2 linked regions of the Elephas maximus indicus genome follow. The protein of the gene in region 1 binds, or shares a complex with, the protein of each later gene. Links are inferred from orthologs where the notes say so. Each region holds a gene or a part of one and is shown in the gene's direction. Other genes may lie near its edges.

Region 1 (11,390 bases):
GGGGCTGGGCTGTAGCTGGTACTGTGACAGCGCCATCTAGTGGCCCCTCATTCCTTGGCCAACGATCAATGAAGGCTTATTGATGAGAACTGGAACCTGGGCCAGCCATAGGGTTCCCCCGGGCCATACTTTATTTACGCATAACATTTAAGGGGCTGGGGAGAGGCTCCTGGATTTGCCTTGAAATCATGGGGTTTGCTCCACGTGAGATGGAGGCTTTACGTAAATGTAAAGACCCTGTAGTTGTTTCCTGCCATTGAGTCAGCTCCCAATGTATAGTGACCCCATGCACAACAAAACAAAACGCTGCCCAGTCCTGTGCCATCTTCGCAATCACTGGTATGCTTGAGTCCACTGTTTTTTTCAGCCACTGTGTATTTTGAGCCCCTTACAACCTAGGGGGCTCATCTTCTAGCACTATATTGGAAAATGTTCTCTTGTGATCCATAGAGATTTCACTGGCTGATTTTTGGAAATAGAACACTGGGCCTTTCTTCCTAGTCTGTCTGCAAGTTCTCCTGAAAACTGTCCACGACGGGTGACTCTGCTGGTATGTGAAATACCAGTGGCATAGCTTCCAGCATCATAGCAACACGCAAGCCACCACAGTAGGACAAACTGACAGATGGGTGGTGGCCCTGTAGGTACAAGTCAGGCCTATAAAAGGGAACTCCCAAGAATAGGAGTTTAGATGAGGAAGACAACCCCAACCCATCGCCCTGCTGTGGGCAGGAACTGGATGGAAGATCAGGATATGTACACAGGAGCATTATGATTCTTCGCTCTTGTAACTAGTGATTGGAAAGACTCCAGGACTTCTTCCACAACATTCTAAATGGGTTCCCAACCACCTGAGTGAGTGTCTCAGGTGGGGCCGGGTGGAGCTCTGGGGCTTGTCTTCTTCCCTGACCTGGGGGTTCCAGCTCCACACCCAGCTCCAGCCCCCACCACGGCTCTTCTACCGCAGGAAAACAGGAGGAGCCCAGCCCTGGCAGCAAGATGGTGAGTGGGGTGAGGAAGAGCAGGAAGAGGCTATTTCCAGAAGAGCTGGTAGAACGGGTCACTCCCTGCTGCTGCTCACTCCCGAGCAAGGGACTGAGCGAGCACCACCCTCATGCACACAGCTGCCCACCTGCCACCTCTCAGGTGCAGACTAGCTAAGTCAGACCTGGAGTCCCTGGGAGGTGCACATGATGGAGGCACTCAGCTGCTACCTGGAAGGCTGGGGGGTCGAGTCCATCCGGAGGCACTTTGGAGGACAGGCCTGGTGATCTACTTCTGAAAAATCAACTGATGAAGACCCTATGGAACACAGTTCTACTCTGACACAGATGGGGTCACCATGAGTTGGAATTGACTTCAGGACAACTGGTTAATGATTTTGCTCCAAAGCCATCATGACACTGTTACCCATGCCTTCCCCATCCCATAATGGTGCACCCAACTGCTCATACTGGAAACCCAGGAGTAATCTTCATACTCCTCGAACCCTAACCACCTGTCCATTCCATCCATCAGCCCTGTTGATCTCTCCCCTGGCGCCATCTCCATGTGACAACTCAAACAGCTGCCACCATGTCTCCAGCTGGGCTTCTTGCCCCCTCTTGCACCCCACACTCCATCCTCAACCACACAGCCAGGGGAGCTTTCTACCTGTTTACCAAAAGCCACCCTCCCCCTTCCCGCTACAGATTGAATTGCATGTCCTAAAAAGATAATCTGAAGCTGTAGGCCCTCCTACCTGTAAACGTGACCCTGTTTGGAAATAGGGTCTTTGAAGATGTAGCAGTCAGGTTAATATAAGGTAATATGGAGTAAGATGGTCTTAAAGCCATGGTATTTTCAATCGCATCTTATGCATGTGAAAGCTGGACGATGAATAAGGAAGACCGAAGAATTGACGCCTCTGAATTGTGTGTTGGCGAAGAATATTGAATATACCATGGACTGCCAAAAGAACGGATGAATCTGTCTTGAAGAGTACTACCAGAATGCTCCTTAGAGGCAAGGATGGCGAGACTGCATCTTACATACTTTGGACATGTTGTTAGGAGGGATCAGTCCCTGGAGAAGGACGTCGTGCTTGGTAAAGGACAGGGTCAGCGGAAAAGAGGAAGACCCTCAAACAGGTGGATTGATACAGTGGCTGCAACAATGAGCTCAAGCGTAACGACGACTGTAAGGATGGCGCAGGACTGGGCAGTGTTTCGTTCTGTTGTGCATAAGGTCACTATGAGTCGGAACTGATTCGACAACGGCACCTAACAACAACAACAATCCCATGTGACTGGCGTTCTTATAAAAGAGGAGAAGAGACAGGAGACAGAGGAAGGATGCCATGTTATGATGCTGCAGCTGCAGTCAAGGAAGGACTGCGGCTACCAGAAGCCAGGAAAGAGGCGGGAACAGATTCTTCCTCAGAGCCCCAGAAGCAATCAGTGTGGCCAACACCCTGATCTTGGACTCTCGACCTCCAGAACTGTGAGAGAATAAACCTTTTTTTGTTTTTTTAAAACAATTAATTTATTGAGACAAGAAATTCCTGTTCTTGTAAGCCACCCACTTTGTAGTATTTTGTTATGGCAGCCCTATAGGGTCACTATGAGTTGGAATCAGCTTGACAGCAATGGGTTTGCTTGTTTTGGGTTTAGGGAACTAATACAACCCCTCCTCCCAAAGAGGTGGTGGGGCGGGGGAACACCACCAAGTGGCTCATACAGCAACCATGATGAAATGTAAACTCCATTTTATAGGCTATAAAATCTTTTATGATCAGGCCCTGCTCACTTTTCCCTTACTCCCTGATGCCCCCACCCAATCTTCCCACATTCACTATGCCACAACCCTCTGGGTGTATGTCCCGTCTCATGCCTGTCTCCAGGTCTTTGTACCCATGGCTCCTTCTGTTTGGAACACTCTGTCCACCACCCCTCAAGTCAACCTTCCTCCAGCCACCTGGATAAACTGACTACCCAGTTCCTCTCTTCCACTTCACCTTATTGCCTTTTCTCCCCCGTAATTATGGAACCTGCAGCAATCTTATTTGTTTGGGTGCTTTGTCAGTCTTGCCCTACACTGGAATGTATGTGCTGTGAGGGAAGGTGCCGTCCGTCTGGTTCACCGCTGAGTCCAGCATCCAGGACAGCGCCTGCTCAATGGGTCACTGTTGCCTGGATGGTTGACCTACGCGAGGGCCAAAACCAAAACCAAACTTGTTGCCATCGAGTCGATTCTGACTCATGGCAATCCCACGTGTTACCAGGTAGAGCTGCTCCATAGGGTTTTCTTGGCTGCAATCTTCACTGAAGCAGATCGCTAGACCTCTCTTCCGCAGCACTGCTGGGTGGGTTCAAACGCCAGCCTTTCAATTAGTCATTGAGGACAAACCATTTGTTCCACCCAGTGACCTCATGCAAGTGCAGGAGTGCAGAAGTTGGGGCAGAAGCAAGGTGGGTTCAGTCAGTGCCTTGTAAGGTGCCCACCCCAGCCAGATGGGTTTAGAGAGGGCTGAGCCTAGAAAGGAACAGTGTTTGTCCTTCAACACCCCGTGGTGGGCAGGGACCTATGGCAGGAAGTCATGCAGTGGGGACATCTTCTGGGGTCAAGGTTACTTCTATCTAGGGCATCACCTCGTGCAGTGATGACTCATGCAAAACGCAGCGCAGAGAGCAGCACTACACTCAAATCTTTGCTGCTTCTGGACAGGACCAGCCACCTTAACCTTCTCCACCAGATCCCAAGAGTCAACATGGATACAGGAAAAGAGACAGCCAGCTCTTGAGAGGTGGAGCCACGTGGCTATTCCCGCTTTGCCCACAGCCCCTGTGTGTGTTCACGAAGTTCCTGAGGCAGTGCCCTGTATCCCCCCTTCCTCTCGCCCTGTGCATCACACAGTCAGCAAGCCAAAAAGCATTTACTGAGTACTAGTGTATGCTATCTGGATCATAACAAATTATGGATAATATTGCAAAGAATGGGAATTCCAGAACACTTAACTGTGCTCACATGAAACATATACATAGACCAAGAGGCAGTCATTTGAACAGAACCAGGGGATACTGCATTGTTTAAAATCAGGAAGGGTGTGCATCAGAGTTATATCCTTTCGCCACAGTTATTCAATTTGCATGCCGAGCAAATGATCTGAGAAGCTGGACTATATGAAGAAGAACAGCGCATCAGGATTGGAGGAAGACTCATTAACAACCTGCGTTATGCAGATGACACAACCTTGCTTGCTGAAAGTGAAGAGGACCTGAAGCACTTACTGATGAAGATCAAAGACCACAGCCTTCAGTGTGGATTACACCTCAACATAAAGAAAACAAAATCCTCACAGCTCCAATAAGCAACATCATGATAAACGGAGAGAAGACTGAAGTTGTCGAGGATTTCATTTTACTTGGATCCACAATCAACACCCATGGAAGCAGCAGTCAAGAAATCAAATGATGTATTGCATTGAGCAAATCTACTGCAAAAGACCTCTTTAAAGTGTTAAAAAGCAAAGATGTCACTTTAAGGATGAAGGTGCTCCTGACCCAAGCCATGGTATTCTTAATTGCCTTATACGCATGTGAAAGCTGGACAGTAAATAAGGAAGACTGACTAAGAATTGATGCCTTTGAATCATGGTGTTGGTGAAGAATATTGAATATACTATGGACTTCCAGAAGAACAAACAAATCTGTCTTGGAAGAAGTACAGCCAGAATGCTCTTTAGAAGCAAGGATGATGAGATTTTGTCTCATGTACTTTGGACATGTTATCAGGAGGGACCAGTTCCTTGAGAAAGACATCATGCTTGGTAAAGAGAGTTGGTGAAAAAGACGAAGACCCTCAACGAGATGGATTGACACAGTTTCTGTAACAATGGGCTCACACATAATGATTGTGAGGACAGCACAGGATTGGGCAGTGTTTCATTCGGTTGTACATAAGGCTGCTATGAGTCAGAACTGACTGGAAGGCACCTGGAATGGTTACAGTTTTGTGCCAACTTGGCTGGTACATGATTCTCAGTGGTTTGGGAGCTATGATGTAGTATGGTATTTGTATGATGTAGTCACCTCCATGATGAGATCTGATACGATATGATCATCTCCGTGATGGGATCTGCTGTAAGTAGCCAATCAGTTGAAAGGGAGCTTCCTTGGGGGTGTGCCTTATGTTCAATATATGTGGACTTTCTGGCAAAGCTCACTGGTTTTTGCTCTTCCCTGGACCCTGCATTCAGCTCATCAGTATCTGACCTCCAGTTCTTGGGACTTGGGCCAGCAGCCTGCTCTTACCTGCCGATCTTGGATTCATCTTACCTGCCAATCTCGGATTTATCAGCCCCTGCAGCTACGTGAGTCAGAAGCAACCAGCCTGACCCATAGACTTGGGACATTCCAGCCTCTACAACCATAAGGGCCATTTCCTTGAGATAAATCTCTCTCACTCTCTATATTTATAATATATGTATGTACGTGTGTGTGTGCTTCATTGGTTTTCCTTCTCTAGAGAACCCAGCCTAAGACAGCACCTAACAACTCTATGCTTGGGACACAATGGTGAGCAACACATACCCGGTCCTTGTCCTCCTGACTTTAGTCTAATCAGGTGAGACACCTCCTGCCCCTCGAAAAATATAAGCTGTGTGGAGAGTGAGGGGCAAGAGACAGAGAAGGTGCTGAGCCTGAACATAATGGGTAAGTCCACTTCAGTGACCCGGGTGTCTGTTGCTCTTGAGACATCAAGGAGGCTGGGATGAATGGCCCAGGGGTAACAAGCAGAATAAATCCATGCTTAGGGAACTCAGAGCTAGAAGTTCGTATAGTAGAAAACAGATCTTTTATTTTTGTCATCACTCAAGACAGATGGGTCTGAGTAATTGTGGGGAGAATAGGGCCCTTCTCAAAAGAAGAGGGTTTTTCTATGAACAAACGGTACCCTCAAAGGACACATACTATACAATCCCACTTATAGGAAATATCTAGAATCAGCAGATGCATACAGACAGAAGCAGATTAGTGGTTACCAGGAGCTGGGCAGGCAGAATGGGAGTTACGACTGAAGGGGTAGTTTCTGCTCGGGGTGATGAAAAAGCTTTGGAAACAAATAGTGGTGACAGTTCCACAACAGGGCGAATGTAATTAATGCCACTGAATGGTATAGTGAAAAGGGAGCTCTGGAAGATGAACCCTCTAGGTTGGAGGGCACTCCTAACACAGCGGCCCCAACAACGGACTTGAACAAATCAACGGTCAAAAAGATGGCGGAGAATCGAGCAACGTTTTGTTGGCTCAACAGCAACTAAACTCTGGTAGGAGCTTTCATCAGTCGCATTAGGAGATTAAAAAATGGCAACATAACCAGAGTTGACAAAAGGCAGTTTAAAAACTCAAAAAGTTTCCGAATGTCAGCGATTTGAAATATGGATTTCCATCTGGCTTTGGTAATAATTTCACACGGTGAGATATTAGCCAGTAATAACATCAGCCTAAAACGTATAAACGAGTAAATATACATATTTTAGAGAGTCATACTCAAATTATTTCCGCTCAAGGCGGAATCACCGGGAGACCCTGCCTAAGTGCCCGGGTGCCGACCCTCTGCCTGACTCCAGGGTCTCCAGTCTCACGCCGACTCGCGGCTGCCATACGTAGTGACCGTAATTTAGGGCAATTTCACCCTGCAGCTCGGGTAAGCCCACTAACGCGACCCTGCCCCACCTTGGGTAGGAATGTACCCACAACACACTCGCGCCGGGCACCGCCAGGCCCACTTCCTGCAGCCTCCGAGCCACTTGTACTGCCTCTTTCCGCGAGATCTCCAGAGCGCGCGAGAACAGCGACTCCGCCCCTTTCACGTGACCGAGAGCGCCCCGCCCCTCGCAGGCGCGGCCCGGTTCCGCGTTCGTACGCACGCACGCACAGGCAGGCGCGAGCGGTGGCGTCACTTCCTGTCGGAGGCCGCAGCGGGTCTTTGCTTCCGTTTGCCGCCTCGGACCAGCCGCCGTCGCAGCGCGCCCGCTCGTCTTTGCTCACTCGCAATCATGGCGGCCACGGCCACGATGGCGACCTCGGGCTCCGCGCGGAAGCGGCTGCTCAAAGAAGAAGACATGACCAAGGTGGAGTTCGAGACGAGCGAGGAGGTGGACGTGACGCCCACGTTCGACACCATGGGCCTACGGGAGGACTTGCTGCGCGGCATCTACGCCTACGGTGAGCGGCCGCGGGGCGCACGGGGGGCTGGCGCGCTGCGGAGCGGAGCGGAGCGGGGGCACTAGGGCGGACGGGCCTTCCGGACCTGCCCCAGAGGTCGGGGTCGGGGGTCGGGACTCGGGACGCGCGATTCCACGCCCCCAGCGCGTCCGCCAGCAGCGTCGGTGTCGGTTCACACAGTTCTCAGTGCTGAGCGCCGTGCTCGGTCCAGTAAGCACCTCACAGCCGTTCTGGGTGCATTGCACCCACTAGGTGTTAGGCCGGAGTCCTGGTGGCGCATTGGTTAAGCGCTCGGACGCTAACGGAAAAGTCGGCGGTTCTGACCCACCAGCTACTCCGCGGGAGAAAGATGTAGCAGTCTGCTTCTGTCAAGATTTCAGCCTTGGGAAGCTTATGGAGGCGGTTCTTCGCTGCCCCGTAGAGTCGTTATCAGTCAAAATAGACTCAGTGTGGCAAAGAATTTTTTTCTAGTTTTAGGTGTCAGGCAAAGAACTGGGGGCGCAGTGGTTAAGCGCTCGGCTGCTAACTGAAAGACCAGCGGCTTTTTGGAAGAAAGGCCTGGCGATGTGCTCCGGTAAACAGTGCAGCCTAGGAAACCCTGTGGGACAGCCCCACTCTGGCGCATGGGGTCGCTATGAGCAGAAATTGACTCCACAGCACCCAGCAACAGCAAGTGTTAGGCAACAGGCGCCAATGTAGGCTTTGGGGAGGTGGAGAAGCAGACACGTTCCCACGTCAGGGGGCTTTAATTGTATCTGTGAGAGGGACAATAACTGAAGCTATTTCAGACAGTTGTAATTGCTGTGAAGAACATAAAGCTGGGTGATTGACTAGGGAGTGACTGGGGGAGGGGAGGGGAGGGCAGTTTTAGTCAAAAAAGAGAAGATAGGTAAGAGGTCTCCAGCAGGAGGTGACACTTAAGGTGTGGCCTGAGTTGAGGAGCCGGCCGTGAGGAGACTGCTTGTGGAAGAGCATTCCCAGCAGAGGGCACAGCCGGTGCCAGGCCCAGAAGCCTGACTGAGGCCAGTGTTCCAGGAACAGAAGGGAGCCCAGGGGTGAGTTTGGAGAGGTAGTCGGGGCAGTTGTGGAGAGCATTGTGTGATGTGATAGAGAGCTTGAATTTAATTTAGGAGAGCATTCTGAATGTTCTGGGAGTTGGGGGGGTAAGGTAGGCGTGGAAGCAGGGGATGAGTTAGGAAGCTTTTGTTCCAGTCCCTGTGAGAGGTGATGGTGTTGTCACGGAGACAGAGAAGACCAGTAGAGCCAATGTGACTGGATTCGCTAATGGAGTGAATGTAAGTGGCAGAGGGCAAGAGGACTCGAGCTTGATTCCTCGGTGTTTTGAGGAACAGGGTGGATGATGGTGCCACTTGCCTAGGTGGGGAACCCTTGAGGGAGGCAGAACTGGGGATGCTGTCTTGGATGTGGGGACCTTGAGAGGCCTAGGATCCATCCATTGGGGTGTTGGGTGGGCTGTTGTCTGTGCAAGTTTGGAGCCCAGGACAGAGGTCAGGGTGGGCATGTGGATATGAGTTATCAGTGAACAAGGTAGGTGGTCTGTTTTCAAAGCATGGGACCGAGACGTGTTTTATCCAGACTGTTTTCAGCGACATGACACCAATCAGACGGTGAAGAGGCAGAGCTGAGGCCCCGGGGTGAAAGGGCAGCATTGCAGCAGGGCCTGTGCTGAGGCTGACTGCTGTGCAGTAGATTGCTTTTACATGGCTTTTTTTTCATGGTCTTAGGAGGTGCCTTCGAATTGGTTTTGACTCGTAGCCACCGTGTGTACAATAAAGCAAAACACTGCTTGGTCTCGTAACTCCCACCAAATGATCGGGTGGAACTATGCAAATGAGTTGCTAGTGGCCCACCAAGGGGATTGGATAGCTTGCTAATAATGCAAATAAAGTGCATGGCATCCTTGTGTGTGGGGGGGGGACCATGCAAATAAAGTGTATAGAACCCTAACAAGGGGATTGGTCAGTTTTTTCCATCTCGCTAGGCTTAAAATGAGCCATCCCAGAGGCAGAAAGGGGGGGACGTCACTACCACCAAGAAGGGATGAGCGTGGAATCTGTTCCTTGGACCCAGGATCACTGCTCTGAGAACCTCCTAGACTCAGGAGACAGAACTGTAATGTGAGGGACAGCAGGAAGTGGTGGCAGAGAAATGGCAGCAGCAGAACCACGAGGTAGAATGAGATGGCGCAGTGGCCTTACCAGCCCACAGAGTTAGGCAGTTACAGTGGGTGCGCTGGCCAGTGGAGCAAGAAAGCTGGGGAGCACCTTTGGGCCTGGCTTGCTGGTGGATTGGGGTGTCCCCGGGCAGTTATTGGCGGAGCTAAAGAGCTTTGTAACACTTACCCAAGTGGGGCAGGAAGGCCAGGCGGAGGCCTGCCTCTGGGCATGGCTAAGAATATACTGTCCTGATGGAAGAACTGTATCCTGAGTCATTGTTCCTGATCCTGAATTGTAACCTGGTACTTCTCTAACAAACTCCTTAACTGTGAGTATGGTCTGTGAGTTCTGTGTGGCTATTGCAGCGAATTATCAAACCCAGCAGAGAAGTAGAGGGTGCACTGGGAGGGACAGCTGGTGTCAGTATTGGTAAAAAGGTTGGACAGAGGAGGTACGTTTGACCTCCACATCATAGGAATCAGCCTTGGGCTGTTGATCTTGATTCTCCTTCCCCCTTGTGAAGTTAGAGGAGGTCAGAAGCCCCCGCTGTGCCATTTTTACAGTTATGTTTCCTGTCAGTCTCTTGGTTCTGCTGCTGCTTCTCAACATCTTGCCCTTCTCCAGTGTCAGCTCTCTCTCTCTCTCTCTCTGTCTCCTGAATCTAGGAGGTTCTCAACACAGGGACCCTGGGCTGAAGGATGTGCTCTGTTCCGCTCCCATCTCTTCTTGTTGGTGGTAGTGAGCCCCACCCCACTTCCTGCCTATGGAATGGTTCGTTTTAAGCCTAGTGGGATGGCAAAACTGACCAGTCCCCTCGTTAGGATTCCATACACTTTATTTGCATGGTCCCACCCCCTTTGAGAATGCCTTGCGTTACTAGCAATCTACCCAATCCCGTTGGTGGGCCACAAGCACTTTATTTGCATAAGCCCATCGATTCATTTTCTGGGAGTTAGAAGACCGTGGTGAGGAGGGCCATGTCGAAGTGAGCCATCACACTGTACTGACCAACCACCTGCCTCTTGTTGCTCAGGGCACCCTGGCTCTGAAGCACTGATTAGTTTCTCAGTGATGTCCTTGGTCATCATGGGGGGCTTAAATGACCTGTTATATTTGCTTTTATGTTAAGATGTGAAATTGTACTATGTTTTAAAAGACTCCTGAAAAATAACTAGAGTTTTGTATATGAAAACCAATCCTGTGCTGTTGGGTTGATTCCAACTCACAGCGATCCTATAGAACAGAGTAGAACTGCCCTGTAGGGTTTCCAAGGGTGTGATCTTTATGGGAGCGGACTGCCACATCTTTCTCCCATGGAGTGGCTGGTGGGTTTGAGCCTCCGGCCTTTCAGTTAGCAGCCAAGCACTTTAATCACTGCATCACCATGGCTTCTTGAGTAAAAAGTAAGCCCCTCCCCCCATGCCCCTCTCCAGGGCTAACCACCAATGACATTTGGTGCCCATACTTCCAGATATTGCACCCGCAAGAAATTTTATCTTTACCCAAATCCATGGTCTCTGTATTTTCTGCAACTTGATGTTCCCTTTACAGAGACTTCGTATAAGTAGTCTACCATGCTAGTTTAAAAACCTTCCGCAGCCTGAGTCATTCGGCCACTTACTTTTGTGAGCTTACTGTGTTGCTCACTGGGTTAGGTTGGGGTGTTGGTGGGGTTGGCGGCAGCAAAACAAAAAGAAAGATAAACCGTCTCTGCCCTCGAGGAGTTTACAGTAGATGCCTGTAAACCTGCTGGCATGAAGGTTAGAGTTAATTTTTTGGGCTCTTGTTCGCAGGTTTTGAGAAACCATCAGCAATCCAACAGCGAGCCATCAAGCAGATAATTAAAGGAAGAGATGTCATTGCACAGTAAGTCTGTGTACTTGCACAGAGAGAAGTGGGGCATCAGTTAGCAAAACAAACGATAGTTACGTGCTTCGTGTTTTTATTTTTTTTTCGTACTTTCTGCCAGCTCTTTCCTTGACTTTATAACTGCAGGGTTTGCTTG
Region 2 (11,451 bases), on another chromosome or scaffold:
GAGGCTGAGAAATATTTTTAATCTCATTTCTGCTGTCCCAATTCTCAAGACTCCATTAAAGACCCAAAATAGAAGTGGTGATAGAGGAGGTTTTGGAAATCTGCAATGTTGTTGGGGCATGACACAAATAAGCTGGTTTTCTCCCACCCCAGACTAGTGTCCTCCTGAAACATGCTTTTATCTAGACTATTATGAAGTCTAGAGCAATTAGAATCAAATGACACAATTGGAAGTCAATAAGGAGTTGAAGAGAAAGGAAATTAAAAGTTCTATCTGCTTGGGAGTATAGGTATGGACCAAGTCCATCCTTCAAAGAGACAATGAAGGAAGGACATAAAATTCTCCACTCCTGGTCTCATCACATAGGATGGGAGGAGAACAATGGAGGAAAACTTTTGAGCTTCCCCTTGAGCACAGGTGAAAGTAATCCCTTTCTTTCTGAGAAAGGTGAACTGTTGGTACTGCTTCTAACTGGAAGCTGGAGGAGTTGATTTATGAATAAGAACATTGGATATATATTGCTCATCAGGCTAGCTTCTTAGTCCCTGTAAGACTAAGGAGACTGAGCCTAGAAAGTCAAAGTTTAATCAGTAATGCAAATGCTTTGTGTGTGTTTGTTTAATAAACAGCAAACATGGAAACCAAGCAAGAAAGCTTTATCTCGAAAGGTTTTTCATAAGGGCTAGAGAAGGATGTAGTCTGAGAAAGAAGGGTTGTATCTTCTAATTTTGAGTCATCCATTTATGTGTTATGAAACTTATTTCATTAAACTAATATTTATTGAGTGACTATAGACTTTTCTGGCATACAGCTGCCTTAATCTCTACAATAGAGATGATAAAAGTAAATTAATAGAAGTTAATGCCACTGGAAGAATTCCAGAGACACTCTCCACTGTCAGAAAAGAGACTCTGCATGTGTAAAATGGATATATTACTTACCTCACAGGGTTGTTGTGAGGATAGAGAGTATTTATACAGCATCTGGCACATACGTGCTCAATAAATATAATTTTTCTTTCTTTGTCCCTTCCTGTTCCCGAACTTTTCATATATTTTTCATTTAAAATCTATTGGGTCTGAAAACCTCAGTCTGTCAGCTACATTGCAAGCCAGGACATTCCTGAAGATAATGGGATGGTACAAATACCACATGAACAAAATGATGATGTCATCCTTTTTATGTGAGCTTCTGGATGGTGATAGTAGTCTTCTACTCCTTCAAAGTATTGAAAATATTGTAGTAATGGCAATTCGGTTGATCTGTGCTTCTAAACAATACTCTGCGTAGCCTGGGAGTGACATCTAAGATGGCTATAGGAAAGATGCCTGGCAGTGGAAAATTTTGTAGAAGTTGGAATCCTGCTGGAGTCATGACGAGTCAGCTAACTGAATAATGACACTTGCAGCTGTGGGGGTACCACAAGGACTTAATGTCACAACGATTTAAAAGGTGGCAAGTGGCAGAAGGAAAAAGGAGGGAGAGTGGCATAGCACACGATAAAGTCCTGCGGAATCTCGTTGTTGGCTCTCAGCAGTTCATTTAAATCAAATTCACAGAGCATTTATTTATTCAAATATTCTTTTAAAAATGTATTAGTAGGGCCCACTGTACTGGACACTGTGATGGGTGTTGGATACAAGAAACAGAGCAGTTTTGATTATAGTTTAGAAGGTTAGAGATACATTATATATTTACTTGTATGGGTATTTGTTAATTAGCAGTTGTGGTAAGTGCTCTGAAAAAAGGGATAAATGAAGGGAGTATGAGATGGGGACCTTCCTGAAGAAGTGGCATGTAAAATGAAACCTTAGGGATGAGTAAGGAAGCCAGATAAAGAAAGGAGAACTGGGAGAAAGACTATATGTGTTAAAAACCTTTGGGCAAGAAAAAGCACAGTTGTTTGAGGAACTGCAAAGAGGTAAGTGTGAGTTCATGGGCAGGCGGCACAAGATACAATGGGGCACTGCTCTTTCATACTGTCCGTTCATATTTATTTTGGTAATAGGGAAAGAAGCAGACACCTATTATTTTAAAGTTTTATCCCTAGTTTTATAGGTCTGGGAAACTGGATACAGCAATTGCTTACTCTAAGAAAATGGTCTTTTCCTTAGGTGGCCAGGCTTTTTCCAAAAGGAAGATTTTATTTCTGGAATTCTAATTCTGGCGTCTTTGACCAGGCAGCCAAATTAGGTATTTCTTTTATTGCTTTGATAACCCCCTCAACTAAAAACAACAAAAATACTTTATTGATAAGAAATTTCCAACATCACCTGGATACAGTGTCACACTGGGAACTTGACAATATCATTTAACTTGGAATCATTTGAACCAGTAGTTTTCAATCAGGCTCAGGCAGAGTACTAGTGATTTTCACGCTGGATTTGGGTATTTTGTTAAAACTGAATTATAATTTTTTTTTAACATTTAAAAGAAAAAGTAAGTTAATGGGTAGAATTTTCTCAATTGTAACCTTGCCGTAATAATTTTTCTTACATTGTTGCTTTATCATAACTCATTTTAACAAATAAACAAGTAGCAAAGATAATGGTAAATTGGGAAGATAGCCTATTATGCTTAATTTAACAGGCCGTTTTTGTTTTGGACATAAGAGTTAGTGGTTATGTATGCGTTAGAAACATATAATATTGTCATATACTGGGAAAGAATTCTTAATTTGAAAAATGGAATTAAATATATTATCCTGTCATGAAAAAGGACCTAGAAATAGCTCCAAGTACTCACCATGTATGAACTTACCTGAAAAACAATGGTGTGGAAATTTTGGAAGTTCTCTTATTAAAAAATTAATACCACTGAGTGGTTAAAAAAATATTCTGGTTAAAATTCCACAAGGAAGTCTATTGTAGAAAAGAGAAGAGAAAGGTAAGTGATGGAAAAAGACTGAAATAGACCATGCCATTCTGGCATTACAAATAAAATAAAAAGAAACCACCTTAAAATACTGCTTTAGACCATAAAATATTCTTGGCTTATTCCTCTGGTCCTTTAACTGAAGGAGACAATTTTTGTACTTGCTTACAAGCAAGTGCAAAATAAAAACTATTAAAAAATTACAGATAAAGTAAACAAATGAAAATGAAAGGCTATCACTTCTAGTGTTTATTGTAGGAAAGTTAGAAGATGTCTGAAGATTGGAAGTAGGAATGATTTAGCGGTTGAGCGCTTTAACCACTCACTGCGCCACCAGGGCTTCCTCTTGATAATTTTAAATAGAGGCAAAAAAAGGTGTGAAGACAAAGGGGATATGAAAGAGAGGTCAAAGGAAGAGAGAATTTTAGCTGTAGGAAAAATCAGTAGAACATTTTAAATATTAAATTAACTGGTATAAGAACCATCTCTGCCCGTAGCCTCCTGACTTGATTAATCACGATGAAGCTGAAAGCAATAAACTTTTAAAAACTTTCCTGGGGCATCATTATTTTGTCAATGAGTTTTGTGTATTTGCCTGAATCATTGAGCCTCAATTTCAAGTGAAGCTGACAATAAAATGTTTACTTTTTACCTATGTCAGAGGGTACTTTGAAGCTGAGTACACATAGGTTGTATTAGCAAACGAGGTAATGGTAGTCCAAAGAAAAGACTTCATTTGGCTTCATGAAAGCAGCCCAAACATTTATTTACATAAATAAACTGTGGTGATATTAGTAATTGTGCCCTAATTTGAAGCCTATGGCAACTGAGATTAACATTCACAAAATATTTTTACTACTTCCAGCCCAAGTAAGAATGTTTGAAAAGGGTCTTCTATAACTGGATTGTCCAGCATAGTAGCAACTAGCCATGTTTGGCTATGTAAGTATTAACTTAAATTAATAAAATTTAATAATATGTAAAAATAAAAATTCAGCTCCTCAGTCCCTAACCACATTTCAGTGCTTTGTAGCCATATGGAAAATTTCCACATCACTGCTGTATGACATCCTAGAAGATCCCAAAACACAAATACTTTACCATTTTGCAATTCTTATCATGATTCAAGTGACAAGTCTTTTGGCATTAAAATATAAAGAGTTAATTTTAGACCATAAAATATTCTTGGCTTACTCCTCAGGTCCTTTGACTGAATGAGACAATTTTTGTTCTGTAAGCAAGTACAAAATAAAAATTAGTAAAAAATTACAGATAAAATAAACAAATGAAAATGAAAGGCTATCATTTCTAGTATTTATCATAGGAAAGTAGAAGATGATTCTGAAGATTGGAAGTAGGAATGATTTCATTTTTCACCAAAAAACAAACCAAATGGATCACAGTCTGTATTTTCAGAGATACTAAGGAATATTTTGAGGGTATTGATGGTGCAGTGATAGAATTCTCCTCTTCCATGTGGGAGACCTGGGTTTGGTAACTGGCTAACGCACCTCCTGTGCAGCCGCCACCTGTTTTTCAGTAGAGGCTTGAAGTGTTGTTATGATGCTGAACAGGTTTCAGTGAAAATTCCAGACTAAGATGGACTGGGAAGAAAGGCCTGGTGATCTACTTCTGAAAAGCAGCCAATGAAAACTCTGTGGATCACAGAGGTCGGATCTGCACCTGATTATGGAACGGCTCAGGAACGGGCAGTGTGTTTCGTTCCTTTGTGCGTGGTGATGCCAACGTGATGGCAGCTGACAACCAACATGGTGGCCTATAAAAAAAAAAATAGTAAGGAGTAATTTGTCTATATTAACAGTTATGTAATAACGCTTTATTTGTAAGGCTGAATATAACCTGGCCCAGTCTGCGTTTCTAGTCGTTTCACTTCCATGAATCTTACATTCTAGCTATGTGCTGGTTTTCCCAAAACATGTATTTTCACACCACTGACTTTGCTGAGCACATTCTGTGCCTGGAATGCTCTTCCATCCCTCTGAACATTTGCCACGGTCCAATTCAAATAGCACCTTTTTTTTTTACAAGCCTTCCTTGATATGCCCATTTCTTCAATTTCCCCTACTCTTCACTAGAATGACTTGCTTCCTCTCCTGTACTGCCAGCATTTTTTACATATTCTTCATTACAGCATTTGCTGTCTTGTGCTAGTATTTGTCTATATGCTTGTTTTCTTTTCTAGACTATAAATGCAAAAGGCTCTTTTTATTTCCTGTGTCCACCATTTCTGGCACATGGGGCATGCTTTATATATTTCAAAGCTTATTTTACATACGTTATTTGATTCTCTTAACAATTCCGTGAGCTTCACAGTCGATTGTGGTATATCCACTTGGTTAATGAACAAACAGGCTTAGAGACACTGACTTGACAAGGTTAAATAGTGGCAGTATTTGGGTAACTCTTAGGTTTTCTGAGCGCTACTCTTTCTACTAAACCCTGCTGAGGGTTATGGGATCATTTAACACACAGAATTACTCTGCTGGTAACAGAAGAGTGATCAATAATATTTGAAAAACAGACTGTGTAAAAGCTCGCTCTGTCTTTCCTCATCCTTCTCTTTGTTCACTTCCCCAATTCAATTTATCTGATGAGAAACGTGGGCTAAATCATTACTTGATCTTAAGTCAAATTGCCAAAACTCTGTAGGACACTAGAGGTTAACCCTTAAATATGGAATGAAGCACATTATAAGTTTTTGATATTAAAAAATAACTCTTCTATACGGTCAAGGAGTTTTAGTTTCAATGTGCCTTTCAAAACTTCAGACCTCTTCCTCTGATGGATTCCTTCCATTTTGTGTTTATTATTATAGTCTTCTAGCTGTCTGATACCAGCAATCGTTGTTTAAAGAAAGCCCCGTGCTTGAAATCAGGCAGGAGAAATGGACGTATTCCAGGTCTCCCACTCGGATTCTGGGCTTTAGCTTTACTCACTTCACAAATTAAAATGGCAAAAAAGCCATGCCCACTTCACAGGCCTGTCACTGAGATCTACCAGTTTCCCTGGAGGTTATCCTGACTCACGAGACCCCATGAGGATAGAACTGGGCCCCGTACAGTTTTCGATGGCTGATTTTTAAAGAAGTAGATCTCCAAGCCTTTCTTCTGAGGCGCCTCTGGGTGAACTGGAGCCTCCAACTTCTGGCGGTAACGCTTGCATGCACCACCCATGGATTGCACGGTGAGAATTTAATACACAAAAATTAAAACCGACTTGTAAATCTCAGTTCTAAGCCCACACAAAAATGCCGTTATGTTTTTTTACACTTTGTCCTCTGCTAATATAATGGAATCACTTAATTTTTATTTTAACGTGCTTCCAAACGTCAGGAGGCGACGTTCACGTCACTCCTAACCTCCCTCCGTGCTTTCCTCGGGGATCAGAAGCGCTGGCGGAAGAATCGTGGCTGCCGCAGTGACGCGCTTATTCTGGGCCGCTTGACGTCACTGTCAGGCGCCGGGAGGCCCGTTTCCAGGACTTCGGAGGGCTTACCAGGCGCGAAAATGGCTATGGCTAGCGATTTTTACCTGCGCTACTACGTAGGGCACAAGGGCAAGTTTGGGCACGAGTTCCTGGAGTTCGAGTTTCGACCAGACGGTGAGCCGAGGAGGGGCAGCTGGCGGGGTGCTGGGCTAAGGGAGGCGAGGCGGAGATGCAGCGGAGAATAAGGGAGGTGGGGTGGAGCAAGAGAGCCTCGGTGGGCCTGGAGTGTACGTTGCGAACACAGGCTACTGCTTGAGCCGAAACAAATGGGAGCTTAGAACCTAAGGTAATCAGCATCCTGAAATCAGTGCGCCGGAAGGCATCTTAAGGCCAGCTGCTTTAAAGACCTAATACTTGAACATTTGTAACACCCCACCAAGCAGTGGACCGGTGGATGCTTAAGATCTTAACTGGTGATCGATAACTTCCGGACTACCCATTCATTGATTGAGCAGTGTGTGTAAGGCAGCAGGTCTAGAAAGAGAATGAGACCAGTTCTGAAGGGTTTAGGCCGATGTGGGAACAAATAAGTGTGGTGATGTGTTTTGGGTGCTTAAATAGAGTTGTTTACCACCGGGTGCATTAGGAGTACAAAAGGGGGAGTGGTTAATTCTACATGAGGCAGTCAAGGAAAACTTCCTAGAGGAGGTGACCCTTGAACTGAATCTTGAAATAGGCTTAGGTATTTCATGTTCTCTGAGGAAAAAAGGTAGTCAGACTGGGAGAACAGAATGAACAGAGGGCAAGGTGAAGCTGCCTGTTGCCATGTAATGTGTAGCAAATTGTGTCTTTTGACAGCTCTGACTATAGAGAGAGCATTATTGTATATTGAACTCTATCCACCTGCAACAAGGACGGTTCAACTGAATAGATTTTCTTTTGGAGTGCATATTATGTGCTGGGAAAATGATAAATAGAAAACTAAGGATTCAGTAAAGAGTAAGAGTCTTTAATTTCCCTCAAAGAGTTATGCTTGAGTGGGAAACAGACGTGAAATTAACCATAAAGCAGTGTGGATATGCTTTGGACAAAGTTCTTTGAGAATATGAAAGAAAAATTAGAGAGAGGATCACATACTAGGAAAGGGGAAGAGTATCAGGCATTTCAGGTGGAAATCAAGGTATCTACAGCCCTGCTGTTATTTAGAAACCTAAATCACCTCATTTACCCTGTCATCTGCATGTCTTTTCTAAATTTGGTTAAGGAGTTAAATATACCTGAATTCTTCATCTGAGCTTTTCTTATGTGATGCTATTTTCATTCCCCTCACCTGTGAACATCATCCAGCTTGTCCATACGCCTTTTTAGCCAGTCAAATAAATTAAGTACCCTGACGTATCAGGGAAATTTTATGCCGGAACAGTGGTTCTCATCCCTTTATCTTCCACCACACTGTACCACATACTTCCATCAATAGTAGTGGGTCACAGACAATTTCTAAGGGGTACACATCACTAACCCCCCCTAAAAACACACACACACACACACGCACACAAACCCGTTGCACTAGGGCACCCTATTATTTTAGAGGGTCAGGACCACATTACGTCTGTACCTGGACAACTGACTGGCTGTGAGGAGAACGATTTATCAGAGAGTACAAAAGTCATGATGGTTTAAAATTAAATATAAATCAGCTAACAAACTGGTAATCTTTTATCCAGAGCCAGAACAGAATTTGTATGCTTGCTTGTCACAGTACTAAAACATTACTATTGCTGTAATCATGTACATTAATTTGAAGGGAAATAATTAAAAGAAAATGTTTTGGAGTAGTGGAAAAAGCATGAGTACTGGAAGACAGTAGGTCTAGATATGAACCTTGTATGATCCTGGGCAGGTTACTTAACTGCTTTCTTACTAATGAATAAAAAAAAAAAAAAAAAATGAATAGGGATAATAAAATCTACTACTTAGGGTTGTTTTTACCATTAGAATAGATGCTTTAGGTAAAACACTTAGCACCAATACAGATATATAACATAAACTTAAAAAGATATATTAGTTCCTTTTTCAGATTTCTTTTCCAGTTCATGACATAGCTTAAGAAAATGGGCCTTAAAAATGACCTTCATATTATATAGTGTAGGCATGGAATATTAAAAAATTTGACTAGCTTCACCTTCTACCAACTTAACAACAAATATTTATTGAGTGTCTCTATGTCTAACATTGATCTTATACACCAGTTAGCAGTTGCCTTCAAGTCTGTTCTTATTCATGGTGATGGCGCTGGGCTGTCAACCGAAAGACTGGTGGTTTGGGTTCAGCAGTAGTGCCTCGGAAGAAAGGCCCAGCGATCTACTTCCCAAATATCAGCCATTGAAAACCTAGTGGAGGACAGTTCTACTCTGACACAAATGGGGTTGCCATGATCTTACACTAGGAGGGAGGAAATGCTAATGTGATATAAAAATTGCTTACAGTATCATTTATTTTTTAGCAGTTTTTACTGTTATGGATTGAATTTTTTTCCACTTTCCATAGGAAAGCTTAGATATGCCAACAACAGCAATTACAAAAATGATGTTATGATCAGAAAAGAGGTAAGTTTTTTGTGTGTGTTTTTTTACATTTAGTCCATTTTCCTCATGTTTGTTGAATTAACAAAAGTACATCTGAGGCTGTTTGTAAAGAAGAAGCCAATTTATAGATTGAAAAATGATTCAATTAAATTAGATATAATTGTAGCATCTCTAACAACAAAAGAAGCTACCTGGATATATTAAGTTATAGTCCCACATTTGAACATATCATCCAATTTATTTTATAATTAATTTTGTTTTTTATTTGCTACCTAAAGCCAATTAATGAACATGATTTAAAAATAGTATACATTTTAAATTAAAGACTCAAAATGAGGTGTGAAAAAGTTCAAAGCAGTAACTGGTATGTGTTTGGTATTTATCTCTCTTTACCTCATAGACTTTGTACTGTCACCATTTATACTCTGAGATATATAAGTCCCCATGTTTCAAAGATGGAATATAGTGTATTAAAACCGGCTAGTGATTGGAGCCATGGTGGTGCAGTGGTTAAGAGCTCAGCTACTACCCAAAAGGTCGGCAGTTCATATCCACCAACTGCTCCTTGGAGACTCTATGGGCAGTTCTACTCTGTCCTATAGAATGGCTATGAGTCGGAATCTGCTGGACAGCAATGAGTTTGGTTTGTTTTTGGTTTAGTGATGAGAAGAAGGAAAAATATGTACTAGAAGAAAGGGTAAAGAGTGAAAAAAAATAACATATGGAGAACGAATGATTCCCATCCTGTAAGTTTGAAATCAGAATTAAAATTTTCTATAATATTATATTTGAATATTCAGGGTTTGTAACTCCTTTTAATCATTTCTTTCTGAGTAGTAGGAAGAAATAGTCAAGCATGAAATTTTTATTATAACTTATTTTCAGGCTTATGTACACAAGAGTGTAATGGAAGAACTGAAGAGAATTATTGACGACAGTGAAATTACCAAAGAAGATGATGCTTTATGGCCTCCCCCTGACAGGGTTGGCCGACAGGTTAGTGTTTAATAATTCTTTAAATGTATAAATATTAAAAATTGGCAATGTAATTGTTATGTTTCACCTTATTTATTTAGAATGAGTCTTCCCTGGGTCTTGATTTTACATTTAGTAGGCACCTGATAATTATTTTAGAATTTTATTTCATTTAGATTCATTTTCCATGCTACATCATAGTAGAAAGGAGTCAATGTATAGCTGTAAATTTAGAGATCTTTCTGGATAATCTTCATCATAGCTACCTAGCTAAAATTAGGATATTTTCACAATTATGAATAGTTTCTATTGTATGTTAACTGCTTTTATTAGGAGTAAGTACAAGTGTTGTTTGTCAGTTCTAGACTTATAATTTTAATTGACTATGTGAAGTTCACTTTCCCCAAATTTATAACTTTTAGAATTCTTATTTGCATTATTATGTCCCAGAGAAGAATTTGATTGGTTTCTTTGTTCTTTGCCTCTCATATTCCCTTCAGAATAATTGATGTTTCTCAAAGGGCTTCTGAAGAACTCTGAAGGCCTAATTTCATTCTATAGAAATGCAGTTTGCTTTCTGAATTGGGTCTTTTCAACTCTTGGAGAAATGAGATACGACCCCTGGAAGGAAGAAATCTTTAATTTCACTTTTGTCTGTTCTTGAGGATTATACCTTATATCACCTTCTTTGACTAGAAGAAAATGTGGAGAAATCTAACAGATGCTGACACTCTGTAGCAGTAACTTTTCTCTTTAAAGAAACATTATTTAGGAAAGCAAAGGTAATAGTTAATGTATTTATTTTATACATTGTAAGCATTTTTAAAAAGTAAATTTAGACGTCAGTGTGTTTTATGTTTATAGGAACTAAAAACAGGAACAACCATATCTTTTAGACTCAGGAAGAGCCCAGTGCTTCATCTGTTTACTTGTTGATGTATTTTGGTTACTTGGGAGGATCGAGCATGCTCCAGAAATTGTCTAGTATCTTTAAGTCACTGTTTGAGAGCCTTAATTAGTTCTACATTTGGTGTATATTACAAACTGTGCATGATTTGGTCTTCTGTGTATAATTTAGACTGTCTTTAATGGGATCTATTTGTCAGTATAACTTGAAAACTTATTACAGATATAGCCTCTTAATGGTTTCAGGTTTGCAGATACTAATATAGAAAAAAACCTGCAGTACTTATAGGACACACTAGGAACATCTACGTTATGTTTTATTTATTTATTTATTTTACTAGCTCTTAATTTTAATTGTTTTGTGAAGTCAGGAGCCAAGAGTTCAAATATCAGCATATCAACAACTTCTTTTCTATATTTTATGAGTCTTGAATTTCACATTTCTAAAATGAGGCTTATAAAGCCTGCCTTGTTTTGGGGATTACAAATGTATCTTAAGGGTTACAGAGAATGTTTTGTAAAGTTCTTACCAATAGAGTCTGGCACATAGTAGGAACTACAGTGGTTATTATAAATAGCTTATTTTTACAGCCTGGTAGAAGTGGAAATATGATTATATTTATTCTTTTAATAATAGGTTCATATCCGTATAATTTTTTTTTTT

What was found. The genes of interacting proteins can lie anywhere in the genome.
Region 2: EIF4A3 (region 1) and MAGOHB share a complex: the UniProt entries of both Homo sapiens proteins name them as parts of the mRNA splicing-dependent exon junction complex. The link is inferred for Elephas maximus indicus from reciprocal best matches to the Homo sapiens genes EIF4A3 and MAGOHB.

The regions. Positions count from the first base shown.
Region 1 is NC_064837.1:70,015,526-70,026,915, reverse strand, and holds the start of EIF4A3 (eukaryotic initiation factor 4A-III), read left to right. Parts: upstream 1-6,948; 5' UTR 6,949-7,039; coding exon 7,040-7,208; intron 7,209-11,178; coding exon 11,179-11,251; intron 11,252-11,390. UniProt on the Homo sapiens protein: ATP-dependent RNA helicase. Involved in pre-mRNA splicing as component of the spliceosome. Core component of the splicing-dependent multiprotein exon junction complex (EJC) deposited at splice junctions on mRNAs.
Region 2 is NC_064822.1:69,353,189-69,364,639, reverse strand, and holds the start of MAGOHB (protein mago nashi homolog 2), read left to right. Parts: upstream 1-6,335; 5' UTR 6,336-6,401; coding exon 6,402-6,495; intron 6,496-8,868; coding exon 8,869-8,927; intron 8,928-9,791; coding exon 9,792-9,902; intron 9,903-11,451. UniProt on the Homo sapiens protein: Required for pre-mRNA splicing as component of the spliceosome. Plays a redundant role with MAGOH in the exon junction complex and in the nonsense-mediated decay (NMD) pathway.